4 linked regions of the Mus musculus genome follow. The protein of the gene in region 2 purifies or fractionates together with the protein of the main gene of each other region. This does not show direct contact. Links are inferred from orthologs where the notes say so. Each region holds a gene or a part of one and is shown on either strand. Other genes may lie near its edges. The genes, in order: Cnnm3, Ptp4a1, Cnnm4 and Cnnm1.

Evidence for each region.
Region 1: the proteins of Ptp4a1 (region 2) and Cnnm3 purify together in Homo sapiens (affinity purification with mass spectrometry; 6 studies listed by BioGRID and IntAct, with this or other methods). This does not show direct contact. The link is inferred for Mus musculus from reciprocal best matches to the Homo sapiens genes PTP4A1 and CNNM3.
Region 3: the proteins of Ptp4a1 (region 2) and Cnnm4 purify together in Homo sapiens (affinity purification with mass spectrometry; 6 studies listed by BioGRID and IntAct, with this or other methods). This does not show direct contact. The link is inferred for Mus musculus from reciprocal best matches to the Homo sapiens genes PTP4A1 and CNNM4.
Region 4: the proteins of Ptp4a1 (region 2) and Cnnm1 purify together in Homo sapiens (affinity purification with mass spectrometry; 4 studies listed by BioGRID and IntAct, with this or other methods). This does not show direct contact. The link is inferred for Mus musculus from reciprocal best matches to the Homo sapiens genes PTP4A1 and CNNM1.

Annotation. Positions count from the first base shown.
Region 1 is NC_000067.6:36,509,326-36,515,199, reverse strand, and holds the start of Cnnm3 (metal transporter CNNM3 isoform 1 precursor), read right to left. Parts: upstream 3,334-5,874; 5' UTR 3,290-3,333; coding exon 2,047-3,289; intron 1-2,046. UniProt on the Homo sapiens protein: Probable metal transporter.
Region 2 is NC_000067.6:30,942,600-30,947,807, forward strand, and holds part of Ptp4a1 (protein tyrosine phosphatase type IVA 1), read right to left. Parts: intron 4,041-5,208; 5' UTR 3,544-4,040; coding exon 3,439-3,543; intron 2,432-3,438; coding exon 2,339-2,431; intron 2,068-2,338; coding exon 1,937-2,067; intron 1,408-1,936; coding exon 1,333-1,407; intron 725-1,332; coding exon 607-724; 3' UTR 1-606. UniProt on the Homo sapiens protein: Protein tyrosine phosphatase which stimulates progression from G1 into S phase during mitosis. May play a role in the development and maintenance of differentiating epithelial tissues.
Region 3 is NC_000067.6:36,468,987-36,475,018, forward strand, and holds the start of Cnnm4 (metal transporter CNNM4 precursor), read left to right. Parts: upstream 1-2,610; 5' UTR 2,611-2,706; coding exon 2,707-4,099; intron 4,100-6,032. UniProt on the Homo sapiens protein: Probable metal transporter. The interaction with the metal ion chaperone COX11 suggests that it may play a role in sensory neuron functions. May play a role in biomineralization and retinal function.
Region 4 is NC_000085.6:43,491,237-43,495,617, reverse strand, and holds part of Cnnm1 (metal transporter CNNM1), read right to left. Parts: intron 4,198-4,381; coding exon 4,014-4,197; intron 3,855-4,013; coding exon 3,705-3,854; intron 1,939-3,704; coding exon of another isoform or gene 1,909-1,938; coding exon 1,807-1,908; intron 660-1,806; coding exon 580-659; 3' UTR 1-579. UniProt on the Homo sapiens protein: Probable metal transporter.

The sequences.
Region 1 (5,874 bases), about 5.6 Mb from region 2:
ACTCGAAGTAGGCAGGGCTGGCTCCCACTCTGTGAGAAGTGACAACAGCCCAGACACTATACTACCTACTCACTCCCTAGAAAGAGTCTGCAAGACCAAGATCTAGGATAAAGCCAGGACACACCTGAGAGGCCAGACACAATCAGAGCTGCCCACTTAAGCCTCCTGTTCACTTATTCATGATCTATATACAGGTCTCCTGCACAGACAAGGGAGACTGGGAATGCAGGGTGCCCGTCAAGAGCCTGGCACACGCTGAGTTCAATACAAGAGCAGCGAGCTCATCACATCAGAGAGCTGCCTCTTGCAGTGGCTGTCCAAGAAATCACTGACAGGCCCTGGGGCCTGAGACCCACTTCAGGGGGGCTTGCTCCATTTGCTACACCCTATCATGCAGCCCAATCCAGCCAGAGCCCTGGTGCACATCCACCCTCCACTCCAAGGAAGCACGTCTGGTGCGCAGGAGCACCCATGCTCTGCAAAGCAGCCCAAGGAGGAGCATGGAGTGTTATAGAGGAGCCTATACCTTGTTTTTGTTTCAAGACTGTGTAGCCCTGGGTGTTCGTGCACTCAGACATCCGCCTGCTTCTGCTTTCCTAAGTGCTGGGACTGAATGTATGTGCCACCTGTCCCCTAGGGGTCCACATTTAAATATGTGGAGCGGCTCATAGTTTTTACTTTCAACTTTAGATGTTCACATGTATTTGCTCTTGCAGAAGACCTGGGTTTTGTTGCCAGCACCCATACGGTGCCTCACAACCATTTGTAACTCCAGTTCTGGGGGATCCGAAGCCCTCTTCTGACTGTCTCAGGCACCAGACACACACACCGTGTACATAAACACATGCAGGCAAAACACTCACACACAGAAAATAAGTACATCTTAAAAAACAAAAAAGGGCTGATCGCCAGGCCGTGGTGGCGCCGCCTTTAATCCCAGCACTCGGGAGGCAGAGGCAGGCAGATTTCTGAGTTTGAGGCCAGCCTGGTCTACAGAGTGAGGTCCTGGACAGCCAGGGCTACACAGAGAAACACTGTTTCAAACAAACAAACAAAACAAAACAAACAAACAAAACAAAAAAATAGGGGTTGCTCAAAAAGAATGAAAGGAGACATTAAGGTAAAAAAGGGGAGAATGGAGATGGGGTTAGGGAAGAGCAGGTAGCTGACATGCACTGAAAAACAATTTAAATGAAAGAGAGGAAGCAAGAGCACCAGAGGATGCAGGGTTCAGTTCCCAGGACCAGCAGGGTGGCTGGCTGTAATTCCAGTCTCAAGGAACCTAGCGCCTTCTTCTGGCTTCCATAGGCACTGCATGCATGAGGAACAACACAGGCACTCATAAACATAACAATAAAAATCTCAAAAAAAAAAAAAATTAAGAGGGAGAAAAAAGCCAGGAAGGAAAATTAAGTCATTATTCATGAGTTGCTTCCGATGACATTAAAATGGAAGTTCTCTCAGTACCCACAGTAAGTATTATGAGTCCTTTCTAATCCCACAATCTGAAAGGGCCAGGAACCATTACAGGTCCAGCTAATTTAATGCTAAAAAGGCAAAGACAACAGTTTCCAGTTACCTAACCCTCTTGACATCATTTTAGTTACTATCCAAGAATCTGGGGCAACTAGGAAGCCCAAGTGCACAATACAGCCCAGGAGAAGGAAACCTCTGGGATTAGAGCCAAGTAGGCATGCTTGCTGCCTGCCAATGGATCTTTTTATTCATTCATTTACTTTTGAGACAGAATCTTTAGTCCAGGCCGGCTTCCATCCTTCTAAGTAGGTAGGCCACTGCTTGGGTTTATGTGGTACTGGGTAATGGTCAGGGCTTCATGTATGTTAGGCAAGCACTGAGCTACATCCCCAACTTTTTTAAAATTTTCTATTTAACAAACAGGGTAACCACCTTCCGATCCTCCCGCATCAGACTCCCATAGCACTTCCTTCCGCTTCTAAAAGGTGGGTCTTTAAATATTTCCAAAGGTCATTCGCAGGTACAAGGCCATCACTTTCTGGGGCCTTTCTAACAGGGGCGTCCCCTTACCTCGCTTGAACTCCTCCAGGACAGCGTCCAGTTTGGTATCGTTGAAGACAAAGTGGAGTGGATGGTTGTAGAAGCGGGTGATGGTGCTGAGCGGTGTGCAGTCCTCGGGCTCAACGATAGCCAAGTCTTTGAGGTAGAGCATGTCCACGATGTTGGAGCGCTCCTCCTCGTACACTGGGATGCGCGTGTGGCCGCTCTGCATGATGCTGGCGAGGACGCTGAAGTCTAGGACAGTGCCGGAGTCCAGCATAAAGCAGTCTTCGAGCGGCGTGAGCACGTCCTCCACGGTCCGGGAGCGCAGCACTCCCTTGCTGAGGTCGCTGTAGGGGTCGCCGCCGCCGCGCGCCAGCTCCAGCACGCGCTCCCGCAGACGCCCCGGCCGCGCTGCCAGCTCCAGCAGCTGCCCGACCGGCAGCGCCACGGGCAAGGTGAGCAGCACCGCCAGGCGGCTGAGGCCCAACGCGCGCGGCGCCAGCGCCAGCGCCCAGCGTCCGCTCACGGCGGCCGGCAGCACCTCACCCACCAGGAACACCAGCCCCGCGCAACCCAGCACGGCGGGCACGGCGCGCTGGCCCGCCGCCCCGTACAGCAGCACGGCCAGTGCCGCCTGCGCCAGGCTGGCCAGAAGCAGCAGCGCGCCCAGGGCGCAGCCGGCCCAGCGCCGCGCGGGTTCCAGGCGCCGCGCCGCCGCGCGCTCCGCCTCCGAGCCGCTCTCGCGCAGCACCTGCACCTCGGCCGGCGCCAGCGCCAGCGCGCTCAGCTGCAGGCCGCGCGCCACCGCCGCCAGGGCCAGCAGCCCGGCCGCCCCCAGCCCCAGCGCCCAGGGCGGCGCCGCCTCCTCCGCGGCCCCACCACCCGGCTCCACGCGCACCGCCAGCAGCGCGGAGCGCGGGTGGCCGGCCTCGGCGCGCAGGCGCAGCAGCGCGCGCCACTCGCCCGTCGGGGCGGCCGCCTCCTCGGGCTCCGTGGCCCGTCCGCCCTCCGGGCAGCCTGCGCCCTCGGCGGCTACCCAGGTCCAGGAGCTGTTGGCCAAGCCGGAGCAGAAGAGTCGCAAGCACAAAGTGGCCTCTGGCGCTGCCCTTCCGCGCAGGGAGCCCGCGCCCGGTGCGCTGTCCTCTTCCGTGCAGAAGTTCAGCAGTCCCGCGCCCGGCGCCGGCGCCGCCTCCCCTGCGGTGCTGCCCAGACAGAACGCGGCAAGCACCCAGCCCAACCAACCCACCACAGCCGCAGCAGCCGCCGCCATGGCCTGCTACCCCTTCTGGGCCTCGGGCGCAGCCTACCCCACTCACCCGCGCCTCTGTTGTTGCAGCCAATCGGCGCGGGCCTCCGCGTCACTTTGACCAATAAGCGGCTGGCGGGGGCGGGCTCTGGGGAGAACTAGGCTGCGCCGGGGAGTAAACAAGCGGCGCGGGGCGGGGCGAGCCGGAGGGGCGTGGGGCTCCGCAGGCAAGGGAGGACGCGGGGCGGCTGTCTGGGACGGCCTCGGAGTTCCCGGCGCGTGTGGACGAGCAAAGGAAGGTCATTAACCCTCTGGCCAGCAAGGCTAAGGGCTGAATAAGAACCAGGGACTGGGCACAGGGAAACCTGGAGTCGTTTGTTTAAAACATTTTCTTATCATTTGTATTTGTATGTGGGTTTGCGCTTGCGAGGGCAGTGCTTTGGGCAGACGCAAGAGGGCGTCGAATTCCCCCTGGAGCTGGAGTTCCAAGCTAATGGGAAGCTGTGCTGGGAACTGAACTCTGGTCCTCAGCACACATTCTTAACCTCACCCAGCTCTATTGGTTTGTTTTAAAGCTAAAGTCTCTTAGCTTTGCGTTGGGCTCTGTGGATATCAAGACAGACACCTGCTTTTGAGGAAGATGCCTTGATAGGAAGGTCCATAGTAAATACTCAAACCCAGAAAAATCTGTTTCCTTGAATCTTCACACTTGTTTCATGTAATTAAGCTTACAATAAAACGATGTTTAGAGACTGATTCTGTGTGCCTTTGGTTTCTGACATGCACCTGACATTCGGGTCATTCAGCCATGCAGGGAGATAGCAGCTGTCAGGAATTTCCATACATGCTAGCTTCACAACCACAGTTTATTCTGATTCCTCGGGTTGAGAAAGCTGTTTGAGAGGGTTCTTTTTGTCCTTATTTTGGAAGACACCTGCATGATCAGATGGAGCATTCTTCGTTCATTGTATGTGGTCTTTATGGGATTAGCTTCTCTATGGGTATCCCTGTTTTTTGCATTTTTCTCTCTACTTTCTCCCTAAATGTACTAAGACATGTACACATCTTATACATATGTTTTGTTTTGTTTTGTGTCTGTGTGGGCCCAAGTGTATGTATGTGTGTTGTGTATGCAGGTGCCGAAGGAGGCTAGAAGAGGGCACTACATCCCCTGGAACTAGAGTTGACATTTGTGAGCCACCATGTTGGTTCTGGGAACCAGGCCTTCTGCAAGAGTGGTAAGTGCTCTTAACCACTGAGTCCATCTCTCCAGCCTCTTGAATTTTTTTTCTAAAATGGATTCTGTAGACATAACTGAAACAGTCCCACATGGCATATGTGCATACACGCAAACATACACATACAAACATCAATTTTTTTTTTGAGACAGTGTTTCTCTGTGTAGCCCTGGCTGTCCTGGAACTCTGTAGACCAGGCTGGCCTCGAACTCAGAAATCCACCTGCCTCTGCCTCCCAAGTGCTGGGATTAAAGACATGTGCCACTACTGCCTGGCCAAACATCAATTTTAAAATAACAATAAAAAAATGTAACAAAGCAAACACCTCATAAATGGGGGCAAGGTATGATCTCCCTGGCTAGCTTGTGCATCTTAGCTCCATGTGCTCTTCATTTGCTCGTGTGACAAGCATTTCCTACACTGAGTGTGTGCGGGACAGGTAACTTCCCAAAGGCTGGAACTCTGGCAGGGACAACAGCTTCCACCCTCGTGGTGCTCAGAACCAGTGCTGGGATCCCAGGAAACATTTTAAGACCCGGTTGGAAGTGTTATAAGGAGAGGACGAGGAAACATTGGGGAGATGATGCTAACGGAGATGTAGGTAATCAAGGAGGGAACATTTGAACAGAGGTTGATATGAGGGGCAAGCCTTATAAGGTCTGGGAAGAAAGGTCCCAGAGAGAAGTGACAGGAGGGGCGAAGGCCTGGGACAATGATCTCTTCCCCACAAAGCTAGAGCAGCTGGTATGTCGCAGGGGTTCAGCACCAAACACACTTGTGATGGACAACAGACCGCTCCAACTTTATCCCATCTCTGTATACACGGCTCCAACTTCATCCCATCCCTGTATACACATTTCTACGTTAGCCTTTCATTTGGGGTATTCTTTCCATTGCCTACCCAAGTGCAAATCTTTTTCCCCTGATGGCAGGGCCTTCCTTTGTAGCCTAGGCTGGCCTCAAATTCCTGATGCTACTGCCTCAGTCTCTTGTGTGCTGAGATGACACGTGCCAGCACGAACAGCTTACCCAGGGTACTGGAAGAAAGGAAAGCAAATGGAGACCAGCCAGCTCAAAAACAACGTTACCAACCAGGGCTGGGCGTGGTGGCACACATCTCGAATCCCAGCACTTGGGAGATAGAGGCAGGTGAATCTCTGAGTTTGAAGCCAGGCTGGTCTACAGGGCAAGTTCCAGGACAGCTAAAGGTACATAATAGAAACCCTGTCTCAAACAAACGAAACATGGTGGTGCATGCCTGTGATACCAGCACCCAGGAGCTAGAGGCAGTGGGTCACCACCACATGAGACCAACGTGGGCTCCACATGGAGACCCTCTACCAAGCACAAATAAAACAACCTCCCATTCCA
Region 2 (5,208 bases):
ACATATTAAATAATCAGCGCAAGACTTAGTTAAAAAAAAAAATAAAAAAAATAAAGGATGGCTAAGCAAACCTGACGTATTCTGGCATAAGTGTGGGAGATGTAAACAGAGTGAGCAGGCAGATAACGAGAGAAGCCCTGCAGTGTTTGAAATGACTGAAGGAATACACCATGGATGGTCTAGAGTTCTCAGTTCCTGCAATTTTGGTTCTGTATGATGCTAAAAATATACAAGTATTGTGCTGGGTATTTTGGCACCTAATCCTTCTAAATTCCTTATAGACTAATAATATTCTGGCACAGGAGTACATTTAATGACATAACTCAATACCTTATTTTAGGAAAGGTCAATTGGTACAAATAATAAGCACATTTTAAATGCTGACCAGCAAAAATCTTTTGCTAAGTGTCCAAACATGTTGATCATAGCCCAAATATAGAGGTTGCAATTCTGTCAAACTTGTGGCCTGGTAAGACTGGTTTTTCAGTATTCCTGTGGAGCTGCAGTAGACTTATTCAGTAAGCCGACACATTGGGTAATATGCATGACAAATCAGGTCCCATCTGAAGTTCCACTTCCAAGGCAATGGCATCAGGCACCCCAGTTTTATTGAATACAACAGTTGTTTCTATGACCATTGGAATCCTTGAAGCGGAGCCGCATTTTCGGACGGTACTTCTCCAGATACAAAAGTTGCTTGCTGTTAAAAGCTCCACGCCGCTTTCTGGAAGGAAGGAAAAAGACAAAGGACTTTTTGATCATGACAGAAGTTAGAAGGATGCTATTTCTGGTAGTAAGGAAATGAAGACCAAAGGGCCCACCTAGAACACTTGAGATTTCTAAATGTTATGCTAAGTGGTTTGATTTAACTTTTATCCTATAAATGATTGAGTCTAGGTCAAAACAACCTCCTCCCCCCAGCTATATGTATCTCAGCAAAATGTAGATTAACAACCACACTGGTCAAAAAGCAGAAAAAAAAAATTCCAACAATTATCTGCACGAATACAAAAAAGCCCCCTTCCCCCGCCTTAGTACAGTTTTCTTAAAGATATCAATTGGGGGGATAGTTAAGAGCACTTGCTGCTTCAACCAAAGGACCTAGTTTAAGTTCCCAACACCAACATGGTGGCCCACAGCCACCCATAACTTGACTCCCATGGTATTCAATGCCCTCTTCTGGCCTCTAAAGGCCACCACAGGCACACAACATATGCAGACAAAGTACATAGGTGGAAACCAACAGTTAATTGGTACATGGCTTGGATTTTACTTAGTTTAGATATTTAATAAGATTATGCAGGCATGAAAGAGGACGGCGGCGTTACTTACTGTCTTATGAATTGTACTGCATCTTCATATTTCATTCCACCTTCAATTAATGCTAGGGCAACAAGCACCGGAGCTCTGGTAATGTAAAAAGTTTGATCACTAATTAAACCCTGAAAAATTAATTGTTCATCTACCCCAGATCTTAAAAAAGTATAATCAATCAGTTCAACGACAGACTTAGTTTTGATGCTACAAGGCTTAGGATCTCGGCTACTTGGAAAGCTCAGACATTAGGGGTACATTTCAAGGCCTGGTGGGAGTGACTTCAAGACCAGCTGAGACAACTCAGTGAGTTATCTGAAATAAGACAACTGGGAAAGAGTATAGCATAGTGTTTGTTATGAGTCCTGTCCTGCATGCAGGAGGGTCAGAGTCACCCCAAAGAAAAGTCATAAGCATTAATACTTTCAATGTGGACCTTTACCTAGAATAGCAATTCTCAACCTGTGGACTCCATATCTGATCTTTATGATTCAGAACAGTAGCAACAAAATAATGCTTTGGTTGGAGGTCATCAGAACATGATTACATATGTATTACAGGGCTGCGGCATTAGGAAGGGTGAGGTCCACCAATCTAGATGGAGACTAGGGGATTTCCTTACCTGCCAAGGCCTGCGACACAATGGACAGCAATACAGCAACCAGGTTCTTCACGAAACTTAATCTTCACAAGACTTAGCCAGTCATCGACAATCTGGTTGGATGGTGGTGCACCATCATCAAAAGGCCAGTCCTGATTCAAAAGAAAAGTTTCAGAGTTTTAAATTGTCAAGGCACTGCGCATCCCTTTATCCCCAAATCCAGGAGAGGAGGCAGCCTGCGGAATTCACAGCACTTTCCTGGCTAACTGGGCAATGCAGGAAGACTCTCACACTGAGAGCAGACAAAAAATGTAATCACATGTTACTACTGTAGGATTTTGCCTTGACTTAAAAGCTATGAGGTCTGATTTGAATAAACTTCTGTAGTGTATGTAACGAAGACATGAAAACACAAGTACTTACAAGAACATGAATGCCTTCTTTCTCCACAAGAGTAGTGTCGTAAGTTGCTTCACATACTCTTACTATTGTGGTAACTCCATACTTCTTAAGTTCCTAGGAAACAATGCATATATTAAAAACATTAATGAGGTTTCTGGAACCGTATTCTTGCTGTGCCATCTGCACCTCTTTTGATCATGCTGGTAAACAAATGGCAAAACCTGTTTAATATGCTTGTTTCACATTATTAAGAGTAAAGAGGGCTACTAAATGCTACGTGTTATGTTGGGGGGTGTGGATGGAGGAATTCTGGTAAAACACACACTAAAAGCAAAATGCTGTGAGCACTTGGGTGCAGGTGGAGCGGCACCAGGTTAACCTCAGGTGCTCTTCACCTCATGCTCTCTCACTGTCTGGCACCTTACCAGAAGGCGAGGCTAGCAAGCCACGGAGCCCAAGGTGTCCCTGCCCCACCTACAACCGCTCAAGGTTTTCTAAATATGGATTCTGAAGAAGCAGCAGGGTTCTCTACATGAGCAGTGAACTGCTTTACTGACTGAGCCTCCTCAGACCTAAGTCTGAGAGTTATGTCACGATTTCAGTTTTAAAAAGCCATCATAAAAACTTAAGGCCTAAGGACACATTAAGTAATTATAACTCAACCCTGCTGACATTAGAAACATTGTAATTCAAAATTTAAAAAATTATGTAACATTTAAATATTTCTCTATTTGCTATCTAAGCATATGTAGATTTTTATACTTTATAAATGTAAGCTCAATTAAATTATTTGGCATTAAATTCCAATTCCTAGTACAAGCAAGTTGGGAGGCCTCATTATCTGCCATCAGAAAATAGCAGAATTAGCAGCTAAAAACTAGACTTAAAGCACAAATAAAATCAGACACCAACTAATGGAAGATTACAACACTAGGCTAAGAAGAAATAGGAAAAACTCTGTGCCTTGTAAATTTAACTAAGCAAACTTAGGGCTACATAGTTCTCAAGTGTAGCACACTTCTACCGTTCCAATATTTCTTCTCTGGGAGCGAGAGCTAGACACTTTCAAGCAGACCCACTATTAACTGTCATCAATTAGGACATTAAAAATTGTATCTTACCTCTATAAATTTGTTTAAGGTCGCATTGGTTGGATTGTGTGTAATAAGAAATCGCATGTTCTTGTATGTGACTTCCACAGGAGCAGGGCGGTTCATTCGAGCCATGTTAATTTAGTTTAAAAAAACACCCAATAGGGTTATGAAAGAATTAAAAAATTGAATACAGAAATGATTTAAAACCAAAACAGAAAAAAAAAAAAAAAAAACCAAAACAAAACCAAAAAACAACCTGAAGTCTACTTCAATATTCAATATACTCCACTTGAAATTCTCAGTGCTTGAGTATGAATTGGGAGAAACGGGCAATGAAATGAACCTCCTAACAAGAAGCAGTGAGTCTTCAATCCAGTAATACTGAGGCAATACAAAGGAAGTGCACTGAGGTTTACCCCATCCAGGTCTGAGCTCTTGTCAAATGCTCTGCAGATTTCAATTCAACACGCCTGTGTCCAGGTTATCCACTCTTATGGGGGTTTCTTGGTGGAGTAGTAATGAATTTCTACAGTTCACTTGTCTGCATAGAGGTCGTGCTGTGCCTGGCAGTAATCTCCACTGCCCTTCAGAAACTCCATAAATGTGTGACCGAGAACACCACAGAACTGCTGTTTAGAAGAAAAGGAAAGCAAGAAAGGGAAAAAAAGTTATTTTCTAATTCAAAAGGAATATGTCATGCTTTTTCCACTAAGTACACAGCTGCTCAAATTAGAGACAAGCTAATTTGACTTTTACTTGCATTACAAAATTCAAGGTTACTGCATTTTAAATCAATAGGCCTAAAATGAGCAATCACAAGCCCATTAAAGTGAAGCTCTCAACAATCAAGAACTCAGAGTCACAGCTACATAGGAATTCCACTTACACATCTAGACACATGGATTTAATTAATTAGTCCGTCTCTCTTTACACTTTTATTCTGGCCCGAATTGTGTCTTCTATACTGCCTTAGCCTGCTGTTCATAGACACTACTCTAGACGCCATGTGGTCTGACGCTTGCAGAATTCACAGACAGTGATTTCAACTGCCCACTAGTTCTGATTTCATATTTTATGTTATTAAGCTACTGGGTTCAAAGTAAGGAGTATGGCTTTTCTTCCAAACAAAACAAAACAAAACAAAAACACTTTTAATGCAATTACCCCTTTACATTTTAGTCTCTAAAGTTTAAATTTGGGGGCCTGCCTTTTTGTATTTTGTAGCAGCTCCTTTACATTTAAGAATAGTGTAAGCACAGTTATAGCTTTAGGTAAAGCTTCTCAGTCTGCAATTGGCACTGTCACTAACCTCTGGAGTGAAGTGTGTGGGAGGGAGGGTGGGTTCCATCCCAATCGATCAGACTTAAACAAGACGCTAGGACTCATCAGTAGGGAGGCTGCCTAGAATGCCAGGCCATCTTGTTTCTATAAACCACATTGCACTGCAGGATAATTCTCTAAGTGAAACTGTAAGCAATCTCCTTCTTAAAAGATCCTAAGAATTTTTATGCCATCTCTTTGGATCAGATTGGCTCTTATAAATACGGACTTATGGACTTACTTAGATCTTCAAACATATCCTACTTAAGACAAGTTCAAATAAAATATACACAATATTATCTTTTTGCTATTTTAAAACTCCAATTCCACTTCTCTGCTGCAAAGCTAAAATCCAATTCAAATATGAAAAGAGGAAATCAAGACTTTCTAATGGTCTCAAACAATGTAACCATAACTATGATCATTGACAGATACATTTCCATAAGTTCCTCCTTAAAAAAGCTAAAGCAGATTGGT
Region 3 (6,032 bases), about 5.5 Mb from region 2:
GCAGATAGATACCCTACCTAGAGGGGCAGGATGACAACCACAGCCCCTGAGCCACAAGTCTGACGTCCTCCAATACCTCTTACATTACCATTACCACTGTTTATTAACTATTGTTTACCTATGTGTATGAAGGTTTTGTCCGCATGTGTTTATGCATAGCATGTGTGTATGCATAGCATGTGTGTATGCATAGCATGTGTGTATCCGGTTCCCTCAGAGGACAGAAGGTATTGGATCCTCTGGAACTGGAGTTACAGACTGTTATAAGTCACCATGTGGGTGCTGAAAACTGAGCTTGTCTCCTGTGGGTCTCCTGCAAGAGCAACAGATGCTCTTAACCACTGAGCCATCTCTCCAGCCCTGAATTTCACTTACTTCAAGGAGTCTATTCTTATTCTCCTTTGGGAATCCAACTGTGAGTTAACTTGACTTTAACAGACCCCGTTTCTGTTCCTATCTAGCAACCATTGTTCTGTCTTGCTTTTCTCTCCCTGCTCCTTCCCTTCGACTTCCAAGCCAAGTGGCTCAAACACTTATTTTTCTTTCCTTTGTTGGCTTCTGTCGCTTAGATTGAGTGCCTACCTATAGAGCACGAGTAAATACAGACCCGAAAAGGGCAAAATGAAAATAGCCTCTGGAATGATGATGAGGCCTGATAGGCGCTTCCAGGGACCTGGGGTTGCTGTCAAACAATCCGGGCGGCTCTTCTGGGTTGTCAAAGACAGGGAGGGGGCAATTGCCCAACTCCTGAGGGTACTGTTCACTAAAAAGCTGGTCTTCTGGCCTCACTCTGTGTGTGTGTGTGTGTGTGTGTGTGTGTGTGTGTGTGTGTGTGTAAGGTGAGGCACCTCCTCACAAGGAACTTCCTCCAGCTGGCTGTTTACAGAACCCACCAGCACAATGCCAGAGCATTAAGTCAGCCTCTGCTACCCAGCCTCCCCCACAACACTGCATGAGTGTTCCATTATGTTTGGATTTTTGCTGCTGGTATTGATTGTTGCCTTAATTGGCAGGCTGTGTACCAAAGTAAAAATAAACACAGGGGTTTGTACAGAGACATAGAGAAGGACTGTGTCTCTAGGGCCAGGAGAAGCCCTGCTGGGAGACCCAGGGGTCAACCCAGGCCTTGTGCTTAGTATAGCTCTTGCAACTGAGGTAAGGATGTTTGTCATCCGTGTCCTGCCCTTCACAGGGTGGACAGCTGTGGGTGGATAGCTGTGGTCATCCCCACACACTGAGTTCATAGCTGCCGGATGACATCCAAGTGGGGCTGACCAGGAAGCAGTGATCTCAAGGCTAGAACAGCAGCCCCACCCCTCAGTTCATTTCCACAAGCAGCTGCCTCAGCTGGCCAGTCACCACAATTTGGGGTTAAGGGTATGGTCCTGAAAGAGCAGGCAGCAACAACTATTACTACACAGGCAAAGACTATTCACAGAGAGTTGTTATGTCATATTCGGTGTGTAAGCCAGTTGTTCTCACGTGCTTAGCCAGGTGATGCTGTGTTATCACTCTTCCTGCCGTCAAATTAAAAACTAAAACCATAACTAAACAATAAAATCAATCCAGGCATGGTGGTGCATATCTGTAAACCCTGCACTTGGGAGGTAATGGACATAGGATCGGGAGTTCAAGGTCAGCCTCAGATTTGAAGAGTTCAAAGCCATATCGGGCTATGTAAGACCTTGTCTCAAAAAAAAAAAAAAAAAAAAACAAACAAAAAACAAAAAACAAAAACAAAACAAAAAAAAAAAAACCAGTCATTCTTACCGCCATTTACAGACAGGGACTAGGATTAACGGTGAAGATCTGAAAGGCCTAGGATTTTGTGCCTAGGTTCAAAATTTGCATCTGTAAGAAGTAAAACACTTAGTGTTCCTGTGTGTGTTTACTTGCTTATTGCGCTCCCCCTCCTGCCCCCGTATGGCTTGTCTTGTTTACTGCCATTTTTCTGATGATAGGCTGTAAACTAAAGATGTGCAAGAATTTTGGCTTGTTCATTGCCGTATCGTTAGAGTATGAAACAAGAGTACATGTTCAATGAAAACTCATCCCTAAATAGAAATGACAGGTGAAAAACCTAGGTCAGAGCCTGGTCCCTCAGCACCTTAGGGGTCTAGACAGAACCGAGGAGTGGGCTGGGGGACTTCGGGGGCAGTGACAACCTATTTCTGGCATTGGGTCAAGGTCAACGAAAATCCCAGAAGTAAGGAGGCTGTAACGCCAGCCTGAACCCTCAGGTTCCCTTTTCTTTTTCTAAACCAGGAAATGCATTTTTCTCGCTGTGCCCGCGGAGAAGCACCACCCGCCCCAGAACGGAGCGACAGAGTGCAGGGGACCCGGAAGCAACCGAGCGCGTGGGGCTTGGGAGCCGGGCTCCCTAAGGAGGAGCGCGGGAGAAGCCCGGTGCCGCGCGGAAGCTTGGCTGGGCGCACCCCCGCTGCGGGCTCCCGCGCTCGCCCCGCGCCGTTCTACCTTAAGGGCGCAGACCTCCTTAAGCCGGGCGCGCGAGCCGTGGGTAGGGGCGGGACATCGCATGCAAATAAGGGGCGTGGGGCGGCGGGGCGGGGCGGGCGGGGCGCGGTCTGACGTCAGGTCCTCGGCTGGGGCAGTTGGCGCGGCGGCAGCGGAGCGGCAGGAGGGCAGGAGCGGAGGCGCCGAGTGAGGCGCGCGGCGGGGCGCGGGCAGCGGCGGGGCCGGAGCAACATGGCGCCGGGGGGCGGGGGCGGGCGGCGGGACGGCTGGCCGGCCCGAGGGCGCCTCCTCCTGGCTGCGCTGCTGCTGCTATGGACGCGGGCGGCCAGCGGCCAGAGCAGCCCCCAGCAGAGCGTGATCCTAGGCATGAGGCTAGCGAGCTGCAACAAGTCGTGCGGGATGAACCCGGATGGCATCATCTTCGTGTCCGAGGGCAGCACGGTGAACTTGAGGCTCTATGGCCACAGCCTGGGCGATATCTCCAGCAACCTGATCTCCTTCACCGAGGTGGACGACGCCGAGGCGGTCCACAACTCCACCAACTGCCTGGAGCTCACCAAGGACTTAGTGGTCCAGCGGCTGGTCAACGTGAGCCGCGGGAACACGTCGGGGATGCTAGTGGTGATTACCAAGTTCCTGCGGAGGAGCGAGAACATGAAGCTGTACGCGCTGTGCACCCGGCCCCGGGCCGACGGGCCCTGGACCAGATGGACGGACAAGGACTCCCTGCTCTTCATGGTGGAGGAGCATGGGAGGTTTCTGCCGCTCTGGCTGCACATCCTTCTCGTTATGGTGCTGTTGGTGCTGTCGGGCATCTTTTCTGGCCTCAACCTGGGGCTTATGGCCCTGGACCCGATGGAGCTGCGCATCGTGCAGAACTGTGGAACTGAGAAGGAGAGAAAGTATGCTCGCAAGATAGAGCCCATCAGGCGCAAGGGCAACTACCTGCTCTGCTCGCTGCTCCTGGGGAACGTGCTAGTCAACACCTCCCTCACCATCCTTCTAGACAACCTCATCGGGTCTGGCATCATGGCAGTGGCCTCCTCTACCATTGGCATTGTCATCTTTGGGGAGATCTTACCTCAAGCCCTGTGCTCCCGGCACGGGCTGGCTGTGGGTGCCAACACTATTGTTCTCACCAAAGTCTTTATGCTCCTCACTTTTCCCTTGAGTTTCCCCATTAGCAAACTCCTGGACTTCGTCTTAGGTCAGGAGATTCGCACTGTTTACAATCGGGAGAAGCTGATGGAGATGTTGAAGGTGACAGAGCCCTATAATGACTTGGTGAAGGAGGAGTTAAATATGATCCAGGGTGCCCTGGAACTAAGGACCAAAACTGTGGAGGATATCATGACCCAGCTACACGACTGCTTCATGATCCGCAGTGATGCCATTCTGGACTTCAACACCATGTCGGAGATTATGGAGAGTGGCTACACTCGCATTCCTGTGTTTGAAGATGAGCAATCCAATATTGTAGATATCCTGTATGTCAAAGACTTGGCTTTTGTTGACCCGGATGACTGCACCCCGCTCAAGACCATCACTCGCTTCTACAACCACCCGGTACATTTTGTTTTTCATGACACCAAGCTGGATGCCATGCTAGAGGAATTTAAGAAGGGTAAGGACTGGTGTAGCTCCTGGTTAAATGTCCTTTTGATACCTCTCGTTCCCCTGAAGCATCCCCTGCATGCTCTCTGTCTGCAGGTTTTACTCTTCTGTTTGTGCGATTTATTCTGGGTCCCCCTGTCCATGGCTTCCTATGCTTCTGGTGTGAACGTTATCAGGCGCAGCAGAAGCGGTTCTCAAGCCTTTGCCTTCTGCCAGGCACTGTGTTCTGTGCTTAGTTGAATCAAAGCTGAAGGAGATACACTTGTCTGGAGCTGGTGAAGGGAGACAGGGTAAGGCTCATTCATGCCTGAAATGAGGCAGCCACCAGGCCTCCTGGGTGGGTGGGGAAGTAGCCAGGGAGCTGAGGATGTTGTCACAGGGGAAGGCACATTTGAGGGGAATCTTAAAAGATGAAGTGACTTGGGCCTGGGTCACACCCCTCTTGTGAGGAAGCCAAGGATTCGCTTGTGGTTCAGCAGGTGGTTCTGTCTAGTGGACCTTCTGGCTCTGCTGGTCCATGGCCATCAGGGGACGGGTTGGAGTTTTGCACACTTTTCCCCCCCGAGTTTGTTCCAGGTTTGGAACTGTGTGTCCTCACCAGGGTAGAACCGTCAGTCACCCTCCAGCCCACAAGCAAAACTGGGAGGTCTCTCCTCGGCTCCCAACTCAGAACAGTGCCAACGTGCAGTTCCCGCTGCTTAGCAGAAGCGTGGAGAGCAAGCTTTGGTTATTGTTCCATCTTTCCCAAGAGCCAAACATAAACCTGCCCCCAACTCCCAGTCTTCAGGGGCCCTTGCTCTGTGTGTGCTCTCTCGTGTGTGCTTGGCTAGCTCCCAGGTAGGTAGGCACTTAAGAGGGTTTACTCCCCAGCCTCCAAGCTCAGACAGGGCACACACCCTTTGCCTTATTCCCAACAAAGACTTCTTCCCTCTTCTACTCTGAAACCCTCAAAAGTAGCTGTGAAACAAGGTTATCAAGTGAAACCCTCCTAGGCTGAAGGAGGTGAGGAGGAAGAAAGGGCGACTCTTTAGAGAAGACCCCGAAGCTCGTTCTGTAGGGACCTTGCTTCATAATCCTAGACCCAACCATCCTCCTGTATGTAGAGCTGTCTCTGGCAAAGGCTCAAGCTGGGAACCACTAGTTGTGGATAAGTCCGGGGTCATTTCTGAAACTGGAAGGTGGTGGACAGTCTTGAAATGGGATCAGGAGAGAAGAGATGGCCTTACCAGAAGGTGCACTTGGGTCTGGGTCAAGGCCAAGGAGGCAGGTTGGTGCTCTCCCTTTGAAGTTTTCTACACAGATCTCAGCATCAGAGCAGCTGAGGGCATCTTGAGGACTGTAAACCAGGACAGAGATAGTCTGGGTGGCATGGAAGGAGATTTAGTGGTATAGACCCAGGAACCTGTTTTGCTCGGAGTCTGAGTAGAAACATTGGGGACTGTGTTTCGACTCCCATCTTGCAACTGGGGAACCTGAAAATTTCTCTGCAGTGGCTTCATTTGGAACCTGGTGAGGACTCCCATGACAGCTTCTTTCTTACCTGCCTCTGTGGTCTGAGGTGGTTTTCTGGTGACAGATATACCCACCAGTACCTCCCCATCAGTTTGGTTAGATCTGGATCCAACTAGTATGAATTGGCTTAACTTGGTGTCCAGCTCTTGATCAGCAGGGATGACCTCTGTTCTGTGGGAGAGTGCAGGGTCTGGGTTTTGGACTCTACTCTGTCCTGTGAAGAAGTGTCCTTCACTGAGCTGGAAAAGCAGAGCTGGCATCTCTTAGGCCAGAGTTGTTCTGGGCTGAGCCCTACCCCCACAGTTTGGTCCACCAGACTTTCCTTGACAGAGGCTTGTGGCCCGAGTCCAGGCCTTAGAGTGTGGAGCCCAAGCAGTTCACGGAAAAGCAGGAGCAGTCTGTCCTGGGGGTCAGGGAGATGAGAGTGTGAC
Region 4 (4,381 bases), on a different chromosome or scaffold from region 2:
ACAGGGACTCAGGGCTTCCTCTCTCTTTCTTCACTGCAGCCGAACTGCCCTTCCCCAGGCTGTGGGGAGAATCCACACACTAACAGGGAACAATCCTTGTCCATCTGTCCATCCCTGGAGCTGATTTTCACACCGGCTCCTCTAGACTCCAGTACACCTCTCTGCCCGCATCACTGTCTGAGCGAATGCTAAGCATGAACTATGGTAGAAAGCATTATTTTGTCCTGGAAGAAAGAATGGTGAATTCCAGGACATGGGTCTCCTGTGGCCCAGGGACACCAAAGAACAAAGATTATTATTGGGAGCCTCAGAATGGCATTCTCAGCTTTGCGTCGGCCCTGGCCAGTTCTTAGACTATGCTACAGACAAAACCATTTCTAGCGTCTTCCATTACAGGCGTCTCCTTCTGTGTCAGACTGGAGGCAACTGATAAAACGTGCCAGACTGACTGAGGGGTGAAGGGTGAAGGGCCGAATGTTCTGTCACTGATGGGAGGCCTTGGGGGTGGCGAGTGACGGGAGGGTGGGTCTTCCCCCAAAGCCTCAGAGTCTCACACTCAGCCAATGAGGGAAGACCTGGTCATGTGATCAGGGGCGTTAAATTGGAGTTTTCCTCGGAGGCTCGCTCCCCGTCTGCGGACTTCTTTCTTTTCCGGCCACCTGAAAAACAGGTTGTCAGCATCCATGGGGGGATGGGGGGGGGGGACGGGGGACGTTCACGCACTGTCAGCAGCCTGAGGACTCTTCTGTCCTCACAGACGCAGGAGGGGAGACATAGCCCTGCCTTGGAACTCATGCAATGGAACCATGGTGCGGATGTCTGCACCTTTACACCTTGAAGCACTTTCCCAAAAGAGGAGCATTTCTGAAAAGGCTCAGTCCCCCTGGCACTAGCGTATAGTAGAGGGTGCACAGAAGGGATTGAGGTAGTCCCCCAAAAGCCATCTCTCTTTTCCCTGGAAGGCCCCAGCTCAACTGACTGCCAGACACCACACAGTACTAGTCTCCCAGTCTTTCGTGTCCCATGGGCCACAGCTGGGTTCAGGACTTCCCCAGGGCCCTGGTTCAGGGCATCTCCCGCCTACCCTGGGCCAGGTGATGCTGATTGGATAATGCCCTCGAAGGCGGACTTTGGGGGTTTTCAGGAGCATTTTCATCCTGCTTTCTCAGCTGTTGACCTCTGTCTCAGGAGGAGGATGCTCTCCTTCCCCTCCTTAAAGAATATTTATTTCATGTGTGCGCATTTGCACATGTGTGTATGGATGTGTGTTGTCGTGTGGGTGCCACGGTGTCATTCTCTCCTCTCACCACGTGGGTCCTGGGCTCGAACTCAGGCCCTCAGGCCCGGCAGCAAGCACCCTCACCCACAGAGACATGGTCCAGCCCTTTGCTTTCCTTTCTTGGAGTCTCCTGGACACAGTTTTTTTCCCAAAGGACTATACAGTAAATATTATAGGTTTTACAGGCTCTAAGGTCTCTGTCACAATCGTTCAGTCTTACCACTGTGACTACATATGACAAACGGACCTATGGTCCAAAGGTCCCTACTATAAAAAAATCACATGACTAGTCAGAATTTGACTTTAAGACATGTCTGTAAGACTCCTGTCCTAGGAGATCACCAGTGCGATGGGACAGATTTGAGCAGTATCACAGGTGTGGCGCTGGCTCAGGCCCTGCTGTGGATTTCCAGAGCTGTGGTAAGAGTATGCAAGCCTCACCCCACCCCCTCCCCCCGGGAGGACAGGCCTCACTTGCTTTCCCAACTACTTGGTGAGGAGCTTTGGTCTGGGAGAGGGATACTCACTCAAGGTTCTCAGCAGCTTCTTGCCCATGTTTTCCTCAGAGTCGCTGCTGCAGGGGCTGGCCTCTGGATCCAGGTGGATATTACAGCATTCAGGATCCGAAGCTGAAGGGAGAGCAGACTCAGGTCTCCAACCTAAATGTCATCAGGGAGGTTCTGAGGGATGCCTTTCTGAGAGTGACAGACAGGGTCCAGGGGTGGGACCTCTCTGTGAGAGACAGGGTAAAAGGGTGGGACCTCTCTGTGAGTGACAGGGTAAAAGGGTGGGACCTCTCTGTGAGTGACAGGGTAAAAGGGTGGGACTCTCTGTGAGTGACAAGGTGAAAGGGTGGGGCCTCTCTGTGAGTGACAAGGTGAAAGGGTGGGGCCTCTCTGTGAGTGACAGGGTAAAAGGGTGGGACCTCTCTGTGAGTGACAGGGTAAAAGGGTGGGACCTCTCTGTGAGTGACAGTGTGAGAGAGAGAGAGAGACAGACAGACAGAGACAGAGACAGAGACAGGTAGACAGACTCCTGAAAGGTGTTGTTTATTAGTTGGCAAGTGACATTTTACTGCCACAAAGGGAACAGACAACAGGACCTGTAACCCAACAGTCTACTCAAAAGTCAGAATAATGACACCTCTGCAGATACCCTCTGGCAGGAGAGGGAGGAAGATCCTAAGTGTCCCTACTTAGTGTCTGTGCCAGACATTGAGCACTGTCATAACAGGGTGCACACCTGTGTCGTCTTAGAATCTTAGAGCCCAGAAAGGATTCAAGCCTCCCACCAACTGAGCTCTGACCCAGGGAGGCAGGGTGTGTGTTGGAAACTGACCTGCACCAGCAGCCCTGACGTGGAGGCCGCATCTACCATGGTCTTTGGGTGTGCGGGTGAGCCATTTCCCAAATCCTGGGAATTCTATGCCCCAGTCTTCCGGGTTCCACACGTTTCCTCTCTGATCTTACTACCTTAGGAGTCTTTCCACTTCTTTGCTTTGTATACTTGGTGTGGAAGAGGCCAGACCTGAAATACCGGGTTGAGGAACTTCTGGCCTGGTAGGTAGGTATATAGAGTGTCAAACACTTGGGAGTCTCACTGCTATTGGGACACAGGGAGTTTTGAGCAACTCTGCTGTCAAGACAGAAGTGCACTGTGTCTCATGTGAAGTGACCTGAGAATGCAGGGGTACTCCCTGACACCCCCCGAGACTGTGGCCTGCACTGTGGCCCAGAGGAAGGGGAAGGCCCTACCAGTGGGGTTAAGGGCTGATGTCAGTCTTCTTATTGTGGGGTAGTTCTAATATTTATGGAGCGGGATACTATACACTGATGTGCCCGATATAGACGCTATGCCACTTGAAACTGCCTTGTGAGATAACTACATCATCTATACTTATTCACTTACTCAAGGAAACTTACCTACTAAGGAAACTGAACCTTAGGCTGTGGTACTGTGGTGTACTGTGGTGGTACACTGTGGTGGTCCATGCCTGTAACCTGCCCAGGGAAGGCGGGCGCAGGAGGCTTGGAAGCTCAAGGTGGTTCTCTGTACAAAGTAAGCTTGTGGCCAGCCCAGATTACAAGATACCTTATCTTAAAAAAACAAAAACAAAACAAAAAAATCCTGAACTGGAGGGTTAGGGTCTGAATCCAGGCAGAAAATGCTCCTATCATTGCCCAAGTTTTCCTGGAAAGATGAATTGGATGGGCCCAATACATGATAGGTGCTTGGTAAATGCTGACCCTGCCCTCTTTTGTGTGTGTGTGTGTGTTTGTGTGTGTATGAGAGAGACAGAGAGAGAGAGACAGAGAGAGAGACAGACAGACAAAGATAGACAGACAGGAGCTGGAGACCCAGGGCTTCCCCAAGCCCTGTTTGCCAGAGTGATGATCTCCCTTTCTGCTCTGGACCCAGCCCTGACCTGCTGTTGTAGGAACTGCGACAGGGGACAGCGAGACTTGCTGTGACCTGTGCTCCTCAAAGTTGGGCATCTCTTCTTGGGGGAAGGCCATCTCCTCCATCCTCAGGTACACAACCTCGCCTGGGCTTCTCAGACCATCCGAGCGGCTGCCTATGGAGGACAGTGAGTAGGTTACCTCTGTGCCTGGGAGGAGACCTTGGGCTCTGTGAGGCACAAAATGCCTGCTAGGCAGAAGTGGAGGAGAAATGTAGAGCTGGTTTGGTTTTTTAAATCACAGAACAGCCCAACTCATCCACCAGACTGACTCACATGGCAAGCTGGTCCTGTTGCTCAGGAGGGTGAGGACCGGGTCGTCCTTTGGAGTCTGGGGTGTGCCCCGGGTGGTGGGGGCCTTGGTGGAGTCCCCATCAGTGAAGGCTTCCATATCCGGGGACTGGGGTGAGCTGTCCATGTGGCAGGCCGTGAGTGCGTTCTGGTACTGTTGTCGTGTGATCTGGAAGGAAGTGGACAGAGACTCAGGAGAGCTGCAGACACTCCACCCATGCAGCCAGCTTTCCTAGGCAGACAAGCTCTAAGGGATGCTCTGGGATGCCCACCCTGAGGCCTGAGGTCATGAAGTGGGAGTCCTACCCAATCTGTGTCAAGCCCAGCAGCAGGAAGACAATGAATAGACCATT